Linked DNA regions of Yarrowia lipolytica. The protein of the gene in region 3 interacts with the protein of the main gene of each other region in a pairwise test. Links are inferred from orthologs where the notes say so. Each region holds a gene or a part of one and is shown on either strand. Other genes may lie near its edges. The genes, in order: YALI1_E40502g, YALI1_B20289g, YALI1_E21513g and YALI1_C12900g.

What was found.
Region 1: the proteins of YALI1_E21513g (region 3) and YALI1_E40502g interact in binary tests that used the Saccharomyces cerevisiae proteins (3 or more experiments, as listed by UniProt). The link is inferred for Yarrowia lipolytica from reciprocal best matches to the Saccharomyces cerevisiae genes RSP5 and MRX18.
Region 2: the proteins of YALI1_E21513g (region 3) and YALI1_B20289g interact in binary tests that used the Saccharomyces cerevisiae proteins (3 or more experiments, as listed by UniProt). The link is inferred for Yarrowia lipolytica from reciprocal best matches to the Saccharomyces cerevisiae genes RSP5 and LYS1.
Region 4: the proteins of YALI1_E21513g (region 3) and YALI1_C12900g interact in binary tests that used the Saccharomyces cerevisiae proteins (3 or more experiments, as listed by UniProt). The link is inferred for Yarrowia lipolytica from reciprocal best matches to the Saccharomyces cerevisiae genes RSP5 and STM1.

What each region holds. Positions count from the first base shown.
Region 1 is NC_090774.1:4,048,419-4,053,150, forward strand, and holds YALI1_E40502g (uncharacterized protein), read left to right. Parts: upstream 1-1,825; coding exon 1,826-3,859; downstream 3,860-4,732. Other genes in the region: YALI1_E40471g (uncharacterized protein), read left to right, coding at 1-138; YALI1_E40540g (uncharacterized protein), read right to left, coding at 4,365-4,732.
Region 2 is NC_090771.1:2,027,134-2,030,865, reverse strand, and holds YALI1_B20289g (uncharacterized protein), read right to left. Parts: upstream 1,941-3,732; coding exon 831-1,940; downstream 1-830. Other genes in the region: YALI1_B20319g (uncharacterized protein), read left to right, coding at 1-368; YALI1_B20276g (uncharacterized protein), read left to right, coding at 3,242-3,732. UniProt on the Saccharomyces cerevisiae protein: Catalyzes the NAD(+)-dependent cleavage of saccharopine to L-lysine and 2-oxoglutarate, the final step in the alpha-aminoadipate (AAA) pathway for lysine biosynthesis.
Region 3 is NC_090774.1:2,147,988-2,153,692, forward strand, and holds YALI1_E21513g (uncharacterized protein), read right to left. Parts: upstream 4,023-5,705; coding exon 3,992-4,022; intron 3,334-3,991; coding exon 800-3,333; downstream 1-799. Other genes in the region: YALI1_E21524g (uncharacterized protein), read left to right, coding at 4,411-4,468, 4,517-4,794; YALI1_E21535g (uncharacterized protein), read right to left, coding at 5,205-5,508, 5,553-5,560; YALI1_E21552g (uncharacterized protein), read right to left, coding at 5,606-5,705. UniProt on the Saccharomyces cerevisiae protein: E3 ubiquitin-protein ligase which accepts ubiquitin from an E2 ubiquitin-conjugating enzyme in the form of a thioester and then directly transfers the ubiquitin to targeted substrates.
Region 4 is NC_090772.1:1,288,530-1,292,922, forward strand, and holds YALI1_C12900g (uncharacterized protein), read right to left. Parts: upstream 2,520-4,393; coding exon 2,505-2,519; intron 1,551-2,504; coding exon 756-1,550; downstream 1-755. UniProt on the Saccharomyces cerevisiae protein: Ribosome preservation factor that protect a small pool of nontranslating, vacant ribosomes in cells under nutrient starvation conditions.

The DNA.
Region 1 (4,732 bases), about 1.9 Mb from region 3:
ATGATCGAGTCTCGAAACACCTGGGACCAGACCTGGGTCAAGACTGTGGGTCCTCTTTTCGACATCGGAGAGTACGTTCAACAGAGACCAGATGAGGATTACGACTTCAGCAGTAGCAGCAGCGACGACGACCACTAATAACGATACGAAAAGAGAAGGTGAGAAAAGGATAAAAGAGATGGACATTGATCCACACTACATATAACTGAATGCATTTTTATTGTACCACATAGGACCATTATAATGGGGGCATAAACAAGCAATTGTTACCCACCTCATAAAAGGGAGGCTTGATAAGCCAAAGCATCATGGTACAGTTGGACTTCATATCTGTCTACATACAAGTACCGCTGCAACTGTTCTCCAACAGTTCAAACAGACGCTGTGACGTCATAGATCTGCAAATTTCAACGGAGAATACAATCTGAAACGCCACAAAGAGCAAATCCAACACATGGACAAAGAATGAAATGTAATAACCGATCTGACATTACGTCACACATGATGTTCCCCACGTGTGGACTGCGTTTGTGCGTTTGTGGCCCTTAATTTCCAGTCAGGTTGGGTTAGGGTAAACAGGATCATCTGGTCATTGCAAAATAGAGTTTCAGGTGCCTCATCGTATTTGAACGTCTTTTAATGTCTATCATAAATGTCTATCTAGGGGTTTGCATAGCTGAAATTGGTTCAAATCGTGTGAAAAACACAGAATATTCCATTATTACATCTCCCTGAATAGCTCAACCGCTAGTGCAACTTCTACGGCGTTAGCAATCGCGTCAGCACAAGTTTTTGCTGGTAACAGATAACGTTTCCAGTGCATCAACAGGGGTAGGGTTATGCCACATTAGGCCCAAACACAATGAGGCTGGTAGCCCACCGTCCTTTCTGAGGGTGGTTGTTTTGAGCGCTGGTCTTCAACAGTACACTAAGAAAACAACTTTTGGAGGACCCTGGGGTCTGATTATTGGGTCAGTGTTCGGAAATATTACAACTAGTGTGGGCAACGGTGGATAATAATACTGTAGAAGTGAAGTGGTATGTGTGATATTTTGTTAGACAGAGCTTGCGAAGATTGAGACCTGCATATCAGCATGTCAAGGATCTCATCTCCACACACGCCAGGTGCCCCCATCTCCACGTGTGTTACAGCTGATCGGATTTGACTCATTTAGACCATTGTAATCAAACGATGAAACACACGACCCCTGTCTCTTCCAGCCCATTGTTCGTGTGGCAAGTGCCTCGGGGCTGGATCGCCACCTTCAGATAAGGTCTCTCTTGTGGTATCGTGCATGAGAGCTGTACCAGTAGTTGGGAGGCTGGTTGAGGGAAGATAGAAGAGGGAAAAAAGAGCTTTTACGGCTAGAGAAGATGGACCAAACCAGAGTGTGTCTGACACCAAGACTGCAGATTGGGTTTCGGTAGACACACCCGAGCGATGGTTTGGACGTGTAAGATGCAGGGAACGTTGAGATGCTGGTTGCCACAGCATACTTCGGTGAGGTTATGTGGCAGCCCTGCGGAGATGAAAAAATGCAAGGCTGGGAAATAGTCTGGGGAAATAAAGATGCACTCAGTATATATAGATGTGAACAATCCTCGAAACTTGTATTCTCATCAGACAATCTCATCAACACTCTCTTTCACAACTTCTACAGTCTTTTGACACTCACTTGTCCATCCGACACCTCCACCACTTGTCCATCCGACACTCACTGTCTATCCGACACCCACTGTCCATCCGACACCTACTGTCTATCCGACACTTTCTTATTACTGTCTATCCGACATTGTCAATTGACGCTATTCACTTTCATTTGCGATGAAGTTCACAACTCTCCTTTCTATGGCCTCTGTGGCCATGTCTGCCGCCGTCACTGTGGAGATTCACTCTACGGTGCTAGAAACCGTGTTCGAAACAGCCTCTGAGACGATAATTTCCGACGCCGCAACCCCCGAACCCTCCCCCACAGTCAGATATGTTACCATTCTGCCCAAACCCTTTCCTGCATTCAACGGCGTTGCCCTGAGCGGCACTGTCCACAACAAGCGAGACACCGTCGAGACTTCTGTCGACTGCAATCTCGGACTGGCCTCTGCCTCTGCTGCTGCTCTCCGGGAGCAAAGTTCAGCTGGTACCTCGTCCGCAGCATATACCGCAACCTTAACTTCTGGTAGCAATCTTAGCTCCGAGACCCACACCATTGAGGTTTCTTCTTCTACTTCTTCCATTCCCGAACCTGCCACCGCATCAATTGAGACCGAGCCTAACCCCAGTCTCATCCCCCTCTTTATCCCCGTTCACCAGGAAGACTCCCCCCCCGACACTACCACCGACACTCACAACATGGGACTTGGAACCAAAATCAGAGACATGGTCAACAACGTTGGCCCCGTGGCCGCTGCCGACCTCAGCAAGCCCAACCAGGCTCCCAATGACCGAACCATCTTCCAGTCGCGAAACAACCATGGCCCCAACATTGGCTCCATGTTCCTTCTCGAGAAGTGGCTGACCCCTGGCATGTTCCCCGACTCCGCCAAGGGAGACGCTGAGCTCGACGCTGTGACCGCTCTCGTTGCCGAACAGGGTGCCGGCGGCGCCCAGAAGAAGTTTGAGGACCACTGGAACACCTGGATCACCGACGACGACTTCTCGTACCTGCAGTCTGTGGGAGCCAACGCCATCCGAGTGCCCATGGGCTACTGGACCATCAACGGAGGCGCCTTCACCCAGGGCACCCCCTTCCAGCAGTACCAGTCCGTCTACCAGAACGCCTGGTCCATTTTCAAGACCAACATTCTCGACAAGGCCCGAGCCGCCAACATTGCTGTTCTGATTGATCTGCATGCCGTTCCCGGCGGCGCCAACGGAGACGCTCACTCTGGAACCTCTTCCGGTAAGGTCGAGTTCTGGGACTCTCGAAGCGACCAGAAGATTGCTATTGACGCTCTCCAGTGGGTCGCCAAGGACGTGCTTTCATACGACAACGTTCTCGGTATCGAGGTCGTCAACGAGGCCGTCTACGACGCTTCCACTTCCAAGGAGGGCTCTTACTACCTGCGAGCTCTCGAGGCCATCCGACAGGTGAACCCTGACGTTCCCGTCTACATCTCCGATGGCTGGGCTCCTACCGAATGGAACGAGTGGGTCCAGGAGCAGAACCAGAAGCTTTCTGCCGGTCAGAACACTGGTTTTGTTGTCGACTCGCACGTCTACAAGGCCTTCTCCGAGCAGGACAAGGGCAACTCTCCCCAGCAGAACATTGCCAACGTTCCCGCCTACCTCAATGTTGGAAAGGCCCAGGCTGATTCTATTGTCGGCGAGTTCTCCTGTGTCTTCTCCGAGGAGACCTGGGCTAAGGCCGGCGGTGAGGACCGAGAGCAGCTTGCCATCAAGTACGGCCAGGTTCAAATTGAGTCCTTCAACCAGAATGCCCGAGCCGGATGGTTCTTCTGGACTTACAAGTTCCAGTACGGCGATGGAGGCGATTGGGGCTTCAAACCCATGACCCAGAAGGGCGCCCTCCCGACCTTCTCCAACGGAGGCTCCAACAAGGATCCCAAGGCCGGCATCAAGGAGGCAGCCACCAAGGCTACCGAGGAGCACTCTGCCTACTGGGACCAGCATCAGGGTAACTACGAGCACTGGCGATACGCCGATGGATACGTTTCGGGATGGCAGGACGCTGCCGCCTTCTACGAGTTCCACGGCTCCACCATTGGCCGAATCAACGCCTGGCAGGACGCCCGACGAGCCCAGCACATTGCTGCTAAGGGTAACTCCGGTGCCATCTGGGAGTGGGACCAGGGCTTCGACGCTGGTATTCAGGGTCTGCTCAACTACATGCGATCTTAAGCAGATCGCTAGGGCCACTTCAAAACACTTTACGACTCTACAATCACGACTTTTCACAACCACATTCTTCTCTGACTTTCACGGTCTATCGATTGGTAGATCTCTATTTATTCTTTAGCATTTTCTGAATACATTTATTAGATATAATTACACACAGACAGTAGCTTCAAGTAGCGACCAGTAGCAGTAGCAATAACAGCAGACAGGAGCAACGGAGTAGGAAAAGCCACAATAACCACAACGTGCTGCCATTGGCTTGTGCACCAACGTCAACTGCACTATTATCTCGGATATTACGCACTCTTGGCACAGGACACTACGTAATACGTAGGGTCATTGGCTCTTGAGACGAGAATTCTTTCATCAGTATTCTTATAATTAATTATCAACATAGTGTACACATAGCCTTCTATAGTACACCCAACATTTCTACCAACTCACCTCGTGTATCATGACACTGGGCTGGATCAATCGTTATATCATAAATGTACACTACATACAATCCCTAGACCATGGAAAACAGAGAAAAGTTTCGCACAATACCAGGTCCCATCTCGTCGTAATCCTGCTTGGTGTAGCAGTAGTTCTTGAACTCGGGAGTAGAAGACAGCAGAGATCCTCCATACCATACAGCGTTTCGCTGCTTGGAGTGTGAGATGACCTTCACATCGACTCCCGAAGACTTGACTCCGGTCGCCCGCTGGTTAGCAGCAAGTCGATCGTCAGCAAGAGTTCGAATGTCTCGCTGCAGACGTCGGCCGAAATCCTTGAACATGGTTGATCCTCCAGACAGAACAATGTTCTTGTAGAGACCTCGTCGCACATCAATGGGCGAGGACTGGACCACGGTGTCGACCACCTCGGACAGAGGGG
Region 2 (3,732 bases), on a different chromosome or scaffold from region 3:
ATTTCCTCATGGTGGGAATGTCTAAGGGAAGACTTGCTGTCTTTAAATACACCAGGAAGTACCTCCACCGACTCTATAAAAACCAGCATGGTCTGAATCTCCCCGACAGCTTGGCCACTTGTTTATCGGAAACTCCAAAGATGCCTTTGTTTGAAGCTCTCATGAATATGAGACCGCAAGAGTCTGGAACGGTCCCTCTTCTCAGAATTGTGAACGAAAGGAACAGGTTCAACGAACAGAACAGATTCCATAGCCACACCTTTGCCTATGGCTTCACAACCGAAGGCAATTCGAGAGGTCGCGCTTATGGAATCGACTCGTATAAAGCTGAAGGAAAGGGAGACGTTCCGAGCGCTCAGATGCAATAGTCGTCCAGCTAATGTGGATTCAAAAACAACCCCAACAGTAATCTTGAAAATTTGAACGGATCAATCTGAACACTCTTGCTCCAGGTCATTCTTCTAACGCACATCCCCAGAGTCTAGAGGGAGTTGTGTTGTGAACATCCTAATAAACAATGCAATGGATTCGGGATATCTTCTGTCTCGCCCCCTACTCGATGTCGAGTAAACCGATCACCAACTAACAATACTCCTCCGCGTTCTGCCATTGACTCTCAAACAGACATCGCTATCAACGGAACAGCATATTTTAGCTTCTTAGGACGAATAAATATTGATACCGGCTCTCCCTCGGTATATTAAGCAATCCATTCATACACTCATTCATCAGGTTAATTTTATATATATAATTTGTCTATTCAAACACCGTAAATTACTGGTACCATCATCTCCTCCTTTTCAAATACACGTCTATTTGCATTAATGAAATTACTCGCCAATTCGCAGAACGTGTTTGTCGAACAGAGCCTTAGCTCGGGTCCAGACAGGAGCAGTGTCTCGCTGAGGAAGCTGCAGGAGAGAAGGCAGCAGAGCCTCAGAAAAGGCCTCGGAAGCCTCTCGCGGCAGAAGAGAGGGCAGGTGGTCGATCGAGCACACGGACAGCTTGGGGCCAGCAGTGGTCTCAACAGGCACGGTGGGATGGTCGAACGTGGTAGCAATTGTGTACACGGGGACAGGGTTGTGGGGGTTGGTGGTGTCAGCAGAGACGTCGACAATGACACTGAGCTTTCGGGTCTCCTTGTTGAGCAGATCGTAGTTGATGAAAGGAGGAATGGGCTGAGACAGGTAGATGCAGTTGATGAAGATATCCGCGTCAGCAATCTCTTGGAAGGGTCCACCCTTCTTGGTCTCGTTCATGTCCCATCGAATGATGTTCTCTTCGGGGATACCGACCTTTCGGGCCAGATCAATGGCACCGGATCCACATCGGCCAAGAGCACCAATCACCAGGACGGTAGGGAGCTTGGAGCCCTTCTCAACAGCAGCGGCAAGATCCTTCTTAATCTTGTCGACAAGCTCGGTCTCATTGGGATAGGCAGAGACACCGGGCAGGTTTTCGCTGTCGGGGTGGGTCTGCTGGAAGGCCCAAGTCTCGACACCGATGGCGGCACCGGCGAATCCAGCGTGGAAGCCAAAGGCGGCAACTCGTCGTCCATTGTCATCCTCCAGGAACTCAAGGTCGTACAGAGTTCCGTTTCCTGCGGGGAATCGGCTCAGAACGTCCTTCCATCCGCCCTGATCCTTGTAGCAGTGAGCAAACTGGATGTGCTCGTGAGACAGAGGGAAAGATTCCTCAGGCAGCTCCTTAAGACCAATAATCATTCGGTCCTCGGGGGCAGAGACCCAAGAGCCCTCCTCGACAAGAGTGGCTCCGACATCGACAAACTCCTGGTCGTCGAAGATTCGAAGGGGAGACTTCTCCACAAAGACCTCGAATCCAGCATCAAGCAGCTTTCGGGTGGTAGTAGGCGTGAGAGCAGATCGGTGCTCGAGAGGCTTGGTCTCGGCTCGGAGATGGAGCTTCACTGGTGCGGTCATTGTGTCTGTGTTGTTGTATGTGGTGAAGTGACAATGGATGGTGTGTCGTATCAGGCTGGGGAACAATTGTGCTTAAGTATGCTGCAGTTGAGTAAGAGTCATCGATCCACCAAAATAAAGTTTGCCATTAGGGTTGGAGAGAGAGATGGTGGCTGGAAGAATTAAATGACATCAAGCTGAGGATTGTGGGTGTGCAATAACACATGTTAGGGGTGACCTGTGGCTCGAAATCTGATAATTATTTTGTAACTTTATGATTATTCTTAGATTTTTTAATATTCCTCTATATAACACATAAGTAGCTGTCGTCTAGTTGTTCATAGCCTGACTCCTGCAATAGATTAGTGCAGAGTGATTTTGTGCAATTGAGAGCCACGGTTGAGTCAAGTGACTTTGTGTGTGAAGTCATCTTACGTTTCAAGTCTCACAGGTTACTCAATTGGTTGGTTGTCTGCCCTTTACAGATATTTACAGTACCTGAGCGTAAAGTCGTTCATCCACGGAATGACTGTTCCTGTCACGCAGTCATGATCATGGATGTGGCTGGTCAGGAACCATTTTGGATAGGAGACTTAGGGATTGGACTATTATTGAAAAAACTGAGCCGAATATGATATAGTTCTATTTGAATGCAGAACTTCTGATGGTCAATTCACTTATTTCAGGCATATCGGTCATGGGTGGCAGCTGCCACGATGTTATCTCGTTGGAAACCTCGTCCGCCATTAACCGAACATGCTTCTAGAAGATGAGAATACAGCATGTACTTGTACAAGATTCTCGGCATTGATGGTCTCAGGCATGCGTTCCTTATGTGCTTAGTAAGGGTTTTGGAAGTTCTAAACCCCTGTAAGAGGCAAGCATCGAGCAAAGACTATGACTAGATTTGGTTGGTGATGTACCATGATGCTCATTGTGAGAAGGAAACAACAATCCATGAAACAACCATCCATGAAACATCCAGGTTGTAGCCTACCATACTATGTATCTTGTTGTTTTGTCAACTAAGAAAAACCATATTGTCGATGAACAGGCTGGTAGCATGAAATAAATCACGTCATCATCTCCCTCGCACATCTTTCATGAACATCAGAAACTATCATATCTTCAGAAGCGTGGGTTTAGCACTACTTGTAGATATCTCTTCAACAGTACTCGTACCGAACATCCATCCGCGCACGCATACTTTAGTTCTTGTCCCAAGCCATCTACAGTATGGTTCTGCTATGCACCAACTCTAATAATTCACCAGCATCACCAACTACACTTCTCTACACATTCACCACCACACATCACATAACATGCCTGTGACTCGACGATCACTTCACCGGCAATCGGTCATGCGATCGGCCGGTGCCTCTACTTACGCCAACGACACAGATTCAAAGGTGGTCCACTGGGTCCGACAATGGGTATCTCCTCAACAGTCACCAAACGTGGTGTCTGCTCCATCTGAAAAGCGAGCACAGACCCCTGCTGACGCCGAGAAGGGCACCCCCGCGTCTACCCCTGTGTCGCTGTCGAACCTCAACTTCAAGGTCAAGCAATGGATTCCTGATCCCGACCAGGAGGCTCATGTCGCTTTCAAGTACGGCTCCACAGACGACGTGATTGCATTCGTGACTGAGGTGCACGCTCCCCCGGAGGTCAAGAACGACAATGATCTAACTGCGTCGGATATTCGAGGCGCCGTGGGAGGCGAGGCCATTCCTGGAATGACTACCATGGACAAGCAGGGTGACGAGGAGAAGCCCGCTGAGGAGAAGCCCGCTGAGCCTGCTGCTGCCACCGC
Region 3 (5,705 bases):
CGGACTCCGGGGGAACCAGTGGGGAAAACGAGACACCCCGACGGGCACATAATCGACGGTTTGAGAAGCGGAAAAAGAGATAGCCGGAAATTAACGTGTCCAAAAATCCGATTTCCACTCTTAAAATGCCCAAATCCACCAACCCTAGCCCGTTTCACAACCCACACCCCCAACCCGCTCACTATTCCCAATCCAGAAACTACAACCTAATTCTGCGATAACTGTCATGTCCGGGAAATACAACCACAACCAAACTACTTGTAGCAGTCAGAAAAACGCACACCTCCTAAAATCAGGCCGCGGGCCTTCTCGCCGGTCACGTGACCAGAAACCAATCTCGCAAACTGAAAACACGCAAACTGCTGCTCTCAAACTGCAACCCTCAAACTGCAGCCCTCAAACCAGCCCCACCTAAATCGTAGCTTTGGCAAATAGTGTCGCACAGTAGGTTAGACTCCCGCACCAGCTGTGGAGAGAACAGTGGTCTCTCAAACTGTTTTTCAACCGGTTTTCAGATGGCGTCGCTCACTTTTGAATCACTCTTTTGAATCACTGTTTCATCTAAGGCTATACCCGATTGGTATACTCGTCTACAATGCAATCCCATACCTCTTCCACCTACATATTCTCTCCATCACACCCAGTGTATATCCCTCACTCAAACTGTGGCTGATTACCAACCACTTGTACAGCTACGATACTGATAAAAGGTTTATACTCACCGCGCCTTACTCAGCTCACTCAAGCATGTTATAAAAATGTATATGCTACCTGCACTGCGCAGTCCCGTCTCCCCGGCTTACTCCTGGCCGAAACCAACAGTCTCCTCCACAGCCATGGACAGCTTCTTGACCAAATCCTCGTAGTTCTTGTACGGAGGCAGATCGACTCGGTTGAAACAGGTATGCGACTTGGGCAGATGCTGGGCCTCTCCAGCCTTCTCAATCGTGAACCGGCGAGGACCATCGCTGCCCTGCAGATCCTTGAAGCCGTTGACGGGGATTCGCGACGTACCGGTCGTGAACTGCAGCAGCCGCGACTTTTGCTCGCTGTCCCACGATCTAATGCACTGCCAGAACCACTTGATGACCTCGTCCGACTCCGAGTAGCCCCGGTAATCGGTGTGCTTCTTCCAGTCGTCGACGTCAATGTCGGCAATACCTCCAATCAGCAGCTCCAGCTCCCGCTCGTCAAACACATTGACCAGCTCCTGGGGGATGAGCTCGTAGAATCCAGACACAAACGCCTGGAACTGCTCCTCCACACGCTTGCTGATTCGCCACTCGGTCACAAGCTCAACGTATTCAATCTTGTTATCGTTGGTCACTTCAATGTTTCGGCCGTCGGGCTTGAGATCAATGGTGACAATCTCGCCAAACTGGTCGTCCTCCACGCTGAAGGTCAGGTCCAGCACATCGGTAATGTCGTTGTCCAGCGCCCACTCCAGGTTTCGGTGGTAGTCCGCGTCCACACCCTCCATGTCCTCCAGCATAACCTTCTTCTTGAGAATCATCTTGTAGAAGGCGCCAATGAAGAAGGCGTCAAGGAATCGACGATGGAAAATGGCCAGACCGACGCACCGACCGATGAACTTGAAGTAGTTGAGATGCTCGGGGTTGATGCCACTGTGGGGGTTGATCTGCAAAGTGTAGTTGTCGTGCGCCGAGTATTCAAACAGACAGTAAAAGGGGTTGAACATTTCGTGCGACAGCAAAAAGAAGAACTCTCGCGACACTCCTCCGTAATCCAGACCCTCCTCGCCGTCGAACTTGATCATCAGTCGCTTCTGCAGATCCTGTGGCGTCTGCCGCATAATCTCCTGATATGAATCTTCAAAAATGTGATCTCGCCGCACCTTGATGTGGCACTGGCCAGGCAGAATTCGCAGAGCAGGCTGCGACCGGAAGTAGATGAGCTTTCGTCGGAAGTCCCGCTTGTACTGCGGCACGCTCTGGTCAAGCGACGAGGGCAGCCGTGGGTCTTCCCAGGTTGTGGTCTTGGTGTTGTGGTCCACAAAGTACACACGAGCAGTGTTGGTGAGCCGCATTTCCCAGCCGGAGGGAAGGGGACCCAGATGGGACACAGACATTTGCTGCACGGTCGTGTTGGTGCCCCCCGCGGCGTTGGTGCCGCCGTACATTCGAATGTACTGCTGTCGCCGAGGGTCGACCCAGGTTGTAGTTCGTGTGTTGTGGTCCACAAAGTAGGGCCGTCCCTCGGGTGTGAACCGCTGCTCCCAGCCGACAGGCAGCTCGCCCAGTGCGGGTGTGGTGGCTCCAGACATGGTCATGGCCACGGCGTCGGATGCAGACCGGGGAGTACCACCCGGGGAGGTGGCTGCAACACCGCCGGCGGCTGCACCTCCTCCCGCCGCTCCCGACGACGAACCTGCGGTGGCGCCGGAGCCGGTACGGTTGTGGGAACCGAGCGTGGGCGACTGGGCCCGCTCCTCGGGCAGCGTTCGGTTCTGGTGCCGCTGCCGCTCCAGGTTAGTGTTGTTCTGACGGGCCTGGCGCGACTCGGACTCGTTCTGCGAGTTTGCCGGGCGGGTCCACGTGGTGCTGCGATTGTTGTGGTCCACGTAGTACGTTCGGCCCAGATTGTCGGTACGTCGCTCCCAGCCGGTGGGCAGCCGGCCAAACTGATCCTCAAAGGACGAGAAGCCCCGGGAGTTGGGGGCTGGGCGTGCGGCCGTGGACGTGGCGGTAGCGGTGGGTGCACCGGCAGGGGGGCCTGTGGTGGTTGTAGTGCCCGTGGTGTTATTGGCCCCGTTCAGCGCACTGGTCGATGTGCTGTTAGTGGTGGCCGAGGGGGTGGCGCTGTGCGAGGTGGAGCTGCTTCGCACGCTGGAGTTGTCGACGCTGAGGGACGAAATGTCGGGGAGGTTGGTGCGAGCAGCAGCAGACACGGAGGCGGTGGATGGGGCGGTGGAGCCTGCCGCGGAGGAGGCGCCGGTGGCGCGTCGGCCGGCGGTGTTGGTGCTGAGGTTGAGGATGATCTTGCCGTTGACCACGAGCGAGTCGTTGGCCTTGCGGAGGTCCTTGGTGATCATCTCGTCTCCTCCTTGGGCCAGGTTGAGCACGTCGCCCACGCGGATGTTGATGACGCCGAGGAAGCCCTGGTCCTTCTTTTTGAACTTTTTGTGGTCAAAGATTTGCACAACGATGATGGACGACGGGGTAACGTCGACGTCGAACGACTCGTTCCAGTAGGGGTTGAGCGTTTTCTTGATGACGGAGGTGGTTCGGGTTTGGCCGCCGTCCACGAGGACCACTGCGAAGGGGTCGGGGAGACGGAAGACATCTCTTTTGTATAGTTGGTCTGCGGCGATGACTGTGTTAGCGGGGTTGGAAGAGTAGCGTGTGCAGCGAGCTACGAGGGCTCGAGTGGACACCGGGTCGCACGACGGCCGGACACCGGGTCACACGACGGCCGGATACCAGGTCGCACGACGGGCAACGACCAATGCAATGATATGAACCCCGACCATACAACGCAACGATGGCAACGACTGATGACAATGATGTACAATAACGTACGGCAACGACGTTGAGAACATATTTGACCCGGGCACTCCTCCACTCTGATCACAGAGGAGACCAAGTCTTGAAGACGTCCTGGCCATTCCATATCGTAGGTCTTTGCCATTCGACACCGTCATTCAGCATGGTCTCTCCGCACCGTCACTCGTTCCGTCACTCGTTCCGTCACTGGTGTCGCACAGACTCGATCTCCGGTCCAGAGTTTGTGTATCTCCGAATGGATATCAGGCCAGTTGTCATAGGGGCGTTCGGCCGAGGACCGTTCCCATTGGACTGTGTCTGTGCCATTCTCTGTCTGTGCCACCTTGTGTCTGCGACATTCTCTGTCTGCGACATTCTCTGTCTGTGTCACCCTGTCCCATGTCCACCCAGTGTTCCGTTGGTCCTGACTGGTCCCTGACTGACTGCCACAGTCGCTCCGTGGCGCAACGCCACCGGCTCATACTCACCCGTCAGCCTTAGCTTGGTTGTCCTGGGCATGCCGGAATTCTATCGCTCTGGTGGAAGAGGAAGACTGTGCTGGAATCTAGGAGCTTTGTAGCCCGGTTCGATAACTAGCTCAAGTGAGAGTGACACACACAGTTTGGGTCTTAGTCTTGCTGCCTCGCCTCCCAATTTCAAAGTTACCCGGGGTACGTAGAGGCATTAATAGTGGTGGTGGGAAAAGACGGGCAAAGGAGCCGGTGGCCGAGTCACGTGGACTCCCGCAGACAGCAGACACGTGCCTGCCACCTGTTTGTTGCGCGGCCAAATATATACCCCACGGGCCCTTGTCTCCTTCTCGTTTGTTTCTCCTCTGAGGATTCCTTTTTTTTTTCTCTTCATCCCCACCCTACTTCCAACTGTACTGCAGTATGAACTTTAGTGAATGTGTGAGTTCAATTTGACGAGGTTGTTGGCCATGTGCTGTACGTGGGACACGCACGGTTCGAGCCCAGTATGAGCACATTTGGCTGTATTACACCGTGGGACAGCTCCTTGGGTCCAACTTTACTCGACGGTCGCCAATCCGCTCTTTCAACCGCTGAGACGAACCGCTTCTGACCGTCTCAAACCGCTTCGACAACGTTTGTCAGCACCTTCACTAGCGCCTTGTACCTACGACCCACGATACTCCACTCCGCCCCGTATTATTCAGGAGATGCCACTGTTGGTCCAGCCGGATGGATGCGCAAGCGGACCGCGAAGTAAAAGCGTGTCGACGTGGTCCATGCGACATTTGAAGGGCTCGTGGAGTCGGAGGAGTGTATAGGAGCAGTCTATAGCAGTCTATAGCGTCTATAGCAGTCTATAGCAGTCTATAGCAGTCTTTAGGAGTGCACTCGTATCAATCTATACTCCAGATGGCATCGTACCTGAGACACTGGTGACCACGACACCTCCACTTGCCGAGGGCAGGCCGACCACCTCACCAAACTTGCGGCATATCTCAACTTTGCTCGCCAACCTCGACACGGAGCTTTTGCTCTGCTATCGTGCAGGTTGCGTGACTAATGTGGGTCGCTGCGCCTCCTCGGAGCTATTTTGGGAGTAGCGAGTGGCGGTGAAGACAAGCCCGTGGGTTCGAGTCTGGCGGAAAACGAACATGGAGCGGCTAGGGCTGGGGTATTTCCGATCACTAATCACAAAAGGGAAGCGCATCTGCATGGCGTCAGCTTTGCCCTACTTTGGAGAAAGTGGGCGGAAAATGGTCTGAGCAAATATCGCCGGATGTATATATAGGAGCGAGCGTTTGGCTCGGCAGGTCAACAGAGACGACTGACGAGTAACAGGCGACACGAGGACAACAGAAGAACGTCTCGACTTACGAGTAGACTCGGTAAGACTCACGAAATCCACATGTTGACTATCGACCATTGACAGAACCACTTCCGTGACTTGCGACTTGATACCTTTCTTCTGATCGCTACCATTGGTCTGATTCTGATCTGATACCTTTCTTCTGATGCTGATGCTGATCCTGATGCTGATCCTGATACTACTCTGATCTATGATATCTCCTATCCCTACTAACTCATCAAGTAAACATTCACTATGCAAATAAATACGGCATAAAGTCCAAACTAAACCTGGTCGGCTCGAGCCCAGTCCTTGGCCTTGGAGTGCTCCTCATAGGAGTTGCCCGATCCGCTGGGCTCAACGCCCGACAAGAACTCCACGCCA
Region 4 (4,393 bases), on a different chromosome or scaffold from region 3:
ATGGAGTGAAGATGAAGTATCATTTGTGGCCTAATTTCAAAGCTCTGATCAACGCCGACATTTTGCAACTTTCAGAATTCCTTTCTCTCAACTACTGACAGACTTAGCAGGCCTGAGTGATGCAGCCATGGTGAAAAAGTGAAAAACACGAACCAGTAAAATAGAGCGCTGGAATGGATAACCAAGTCCGTCCAACACGTGTAATTGTACAATACTTGTGCTTGTACCATTAATGACGGACTTTTCCAGCATCTCTGTCGCTCTCGTCAATGGGCTTCGTATAATTGCAGTCATAGAACTGACACCATATAGAGCCACTTACTGTGGTTAAAATGCTCCACTCACTCTCTCACTCTCTCCAACTCACCCAATGATGGCCCGATCAGAAAAAGGAAACAACCATCACACTCCTCTCGTTGCACAGATGACTCTCCCATTTCCCGCTTCCATCTACCACCAATATTCGCAGCACAATGGCCCCCTTACTCCTGTCCTATGAACTCAATCCTCGGGTTGGTTATGCTTATAATTAACATTATCAAAATATCTCAATACAATCACTACAAGTACGCACCATGATGCTACAAACTACCGGCTTCATACTCATGTACAGGGCAACAACCACGGCTATGGTCATGGTCGGTTGCAGTTTCATAATTCGCTCGATTGATTACTCATCGTTCGTTTTGTCAGCCATGCGACTGTTCATTCAAAAGACTTGATTCAAAACCTGTCAAAAGGACACGGTTGTCCGCTTAGGCGCCAAGGGCGGGGAAGTCAGAGGCGGAAGAGAGGTTGACGGAGGGAGCCTTTCGCTCCTGGGTTCGGAAACCCTTCTTGTCACCACCTCGCTTGCCGTCTCGGCCACCTCGGTTCTCTCGGGGGGCTCGGTCGGATCGGTCACCTCGAGACTCTCGGTTGGCGGGGAAGGCAGGCTCAATCTCGAGCAGAACCTTCTCCTTTCGGGCTCGGGTTCGCACGTTCTTGGCCTTGGTGCCGGCAACGAGATCGGCAACCTCGTCCTTGTCGAGCTTGGAAGCCTCGGAGTACTTGGACTCGGCGCCGGCGTTGGCCTGTCGGACAGATCGGCCGGAAGCAAGCTTGGCGGTGGCAGCCTTCTGCTCGGCAAGGTACTCCTCCAGAGTCTTGGTGTTGTCAGGCTCCTCAACAGGGGCCTCGACGGGGGTCTCGGGCTCGGCCTCGTCCTTGGTGGCGATGGCGTCACCGGCCTTCTCGTCAGCGAGCTTGCCCTTGGAGTCGCCCCATCCCTTGCCAACCTTCTTGGCAGAGTCGGACTTGCCGGTCTGGGATCGTCGGTCAGGTCGGGGGTTTCGGGCAGGCTTGCCCTTCTTCTCAGCCTGGGGCTCGGTGGACTTGGACCGGTTCTGGTCCCGCAGGGGCTGGTTGGACTTCTTGGAAGCACCGATGGCAGCGCCGGGGTCCTTGGGGGCGGCGTTCTTCTTGGAAGAGCCGGAGTTCTTGGTGAGCTCCTTGGTCACAATGACCTTGTTGGAGTCCTCCTCCACGTTGCCGAGGATTTCGTATAGGTTCTGGGTTAGCACGGAAGATGCAAGAGCGCACAAGCGGAGCGAGCGCGAGCGGGCAGTAAATGAGTCACAAACAATTCGCAACGGAGTCGCAAGGAGACGTCGCAGTCAACACAGGCAACTCGCTTGCTGCTCGTCTGCGAGTCGACTTGCAGGCAGCGGCCCCAGGCTTCCCCTCACCAAGTGGGGTAGCCAGGAAGAGACATCGCCATGTGAAGGAGGTCGACGGCGATTCGACGGCGACCTGGCAAGCTGGCAAGCTGGGCTCTGGAGATGGCCGGCTATGCTCAGCCCGGGAATCACACGGTCCGCCCACCGGTCCGAGGCGTCTGGAGAAGACCCATGGTTGGAGTGTGGTGATGCGCATGAGGAAGAGATACATGCCCGGCGAATGATGGCACTGGCCACGTAGATAGCACAAGCACTTCGGATTGGTGGGATGGTTGTGGTTGACGCTGCTGACCACTGACTACTATGGACGTAGGTCCGTCGGATCGTCTGATTGCGACATCCCCGCACCTCCATCGTTCAGTGTGAACGGGTCATTTTGGGATTGTGGTTGGTTGCGATATCATCGACGCTGCCCTTGAGGCCACGTCTCCACATTGCCCACACCACTAGGTGGACATGGGGCCGTTGGGTGCAATGATCTGACAACACCAAATGTGCATCTCCACCGACCCAAACAGCACCAACACAAGCCAAGCAGCCAAAAACACAATCGACCCCGTAATCAACAAACCCCTTGACGCCATCCATCATCAGCTTCTCCTCCGTCACACCTGCGACACCACATCCCACATCTCTGCCACGTGCCCCACGGGACACCTCCACCCATGTCAGTCACACATGACCCACATGTGGGGTTGGATGATCCTCGGTGTTTGGCCGCTGGGGCGTGGCCGCCGGGTCCCGCTTTCACGGCCCCCCCAACCCCTCTTGTCTTCAAATACTCACCTTGGAGACAGACATGTTAGCAGCCCTCTATTATCCTCGTGTTTGGACACTTAAAATTTGGAGCAACAGCAAAGTGAAAATTTCACCGACAAGTGTGAGTGGGTTGGCGCTGGCCCAATGGGGGAAGGTAGGGTAAGAGGAGGTGACGTAGGGTAAGTCCCGTGATGCGATCCCCCTCACGAGCGGGGGGCCCAGTCCTAGCCCGACGTGATGCCTCCGACCAAAGCGGCCACGGAGAATCGATTGGCCCTCTCAGATTGGTCACTAGACCGCTCCCTGGGCCCCTTTGGAACCTGTCTCCGCACCTCTTGGGACCTGGGTGTACTTTAGTCTACAAACCTAAGGCTCCAAAGTTTGCTGTGAGGAGTATGCAGGTGCGATAGAGGCAGGTGTAACCAGCCGGTGGAGTGGCAAGGAGAGATTGGAGAGAGTCACGTGACAAGGACGTTGAGTGGGCCGGCAGAGACGTTTTTTTATTATTTTTTTGTCCTTTTTTGAGAGTGTTTTGGTCTTGGTTGGTCTTGGTTGGTCATGGTTTTGGCTTGGTCTTTTCAGCTTGGCTGTATCGCCTGATCTGTCTGCTAGAAGTATGATCAACAGTAATCAGTGCACGAGGAGGGGAGGAGGACAGAGGGAGGACAGAGGGGCAGAGAGGACGGAGGAGAGAGAGGGGGGAGGACTCTCGATAGAAGGGACGAGAAGGATGTCGTAAATTGTCAGTCGGACGGATTTAACGGGTACTGTGTGTACTTATCTTGTATATTCCGTTTATCCTGGTCAGCTCTGGAACTTTTCAGCATACTGAACTGTCCTCTCCAAACTACAGTACGACGACCGTACACCAGCGGCTGTCACTACTACTGTACTGTACATACTGTACTTGTGGCCATCTGGTGTCACTACTTGCGGCCATGGTCGTCCTGAAAGATGGATGGGGCCTGATGATTGTAGGACTACTGTTATGTACTTGCAGTCCCACTTTTAGAGCAAGTCTCACTCCAAACCTACACCTTTGGAAAATGTGGGGGAGTCACTTGAAGGTTTATTGTAGTTGGTGCGTAGGCAGTTGGCCAATGGAATGGTTGGTGAGGTCAGAGGGGTGATGGGGAGGGAGTCACAGAGAGGGAGTCACGTGCCATGGAGTTGGGTGTCGATATGTTCACGTGACGCAGGACCCTCACAGCTTCCGATCCTCACAGCTTCCGATCTGGGCGGAGTTGTCTTCTCATGATTGAATTAGACCATCATCTACGGGACAGCACGGACTGTTTCCAGAGAAGTTGACTATTAGTACTTGGGTTGGCTGATTGTATAGCACCAACCAATCAAACAACCAACCAAATCAGCAACAGGACCGATAAAACGCAATCACTCAATGAGCAGCTCATGAGCCATCCTGATGAGTAAGCTGATTGGAGACAACCTTGTAGAAAGACTGTCTTCAGGTGGAATAGATGGTTTGTCAAAATGCTTCTATGCTGGTACTAGTACTCCCTCAACTTCACCAACGCGCCTGTATCATGTCACCTTGTTGTTGTCGTCAAAAAGCCGATATTATCTGTACGATAACCGACTTTGTGGCTCTCATTGGCCGTCCCCACACCCTTATCTCCGCTTCTAACGCCTAAAGAGTGAGTGCGTTATGGAGTGCGTTCGGAGGTGGTCAGGGTCCGGATCCCCATGGCGGGAGTGAGGTTATTCAGTGAGGAGATGATGAAGATGGACAAGTGGCCACCATGTATGGACGAATTCCACTCACGCAGCTTCATCGGACCCCATGAGCCCTGCTCCACACACTCACTGAAATCACATTCACAACCTGCAGAGAGACCACATATCTTTTTGCTCGCGTTTTTGCCCGTTTTTGCCCGCTTTGCCTGCGTTGCCCG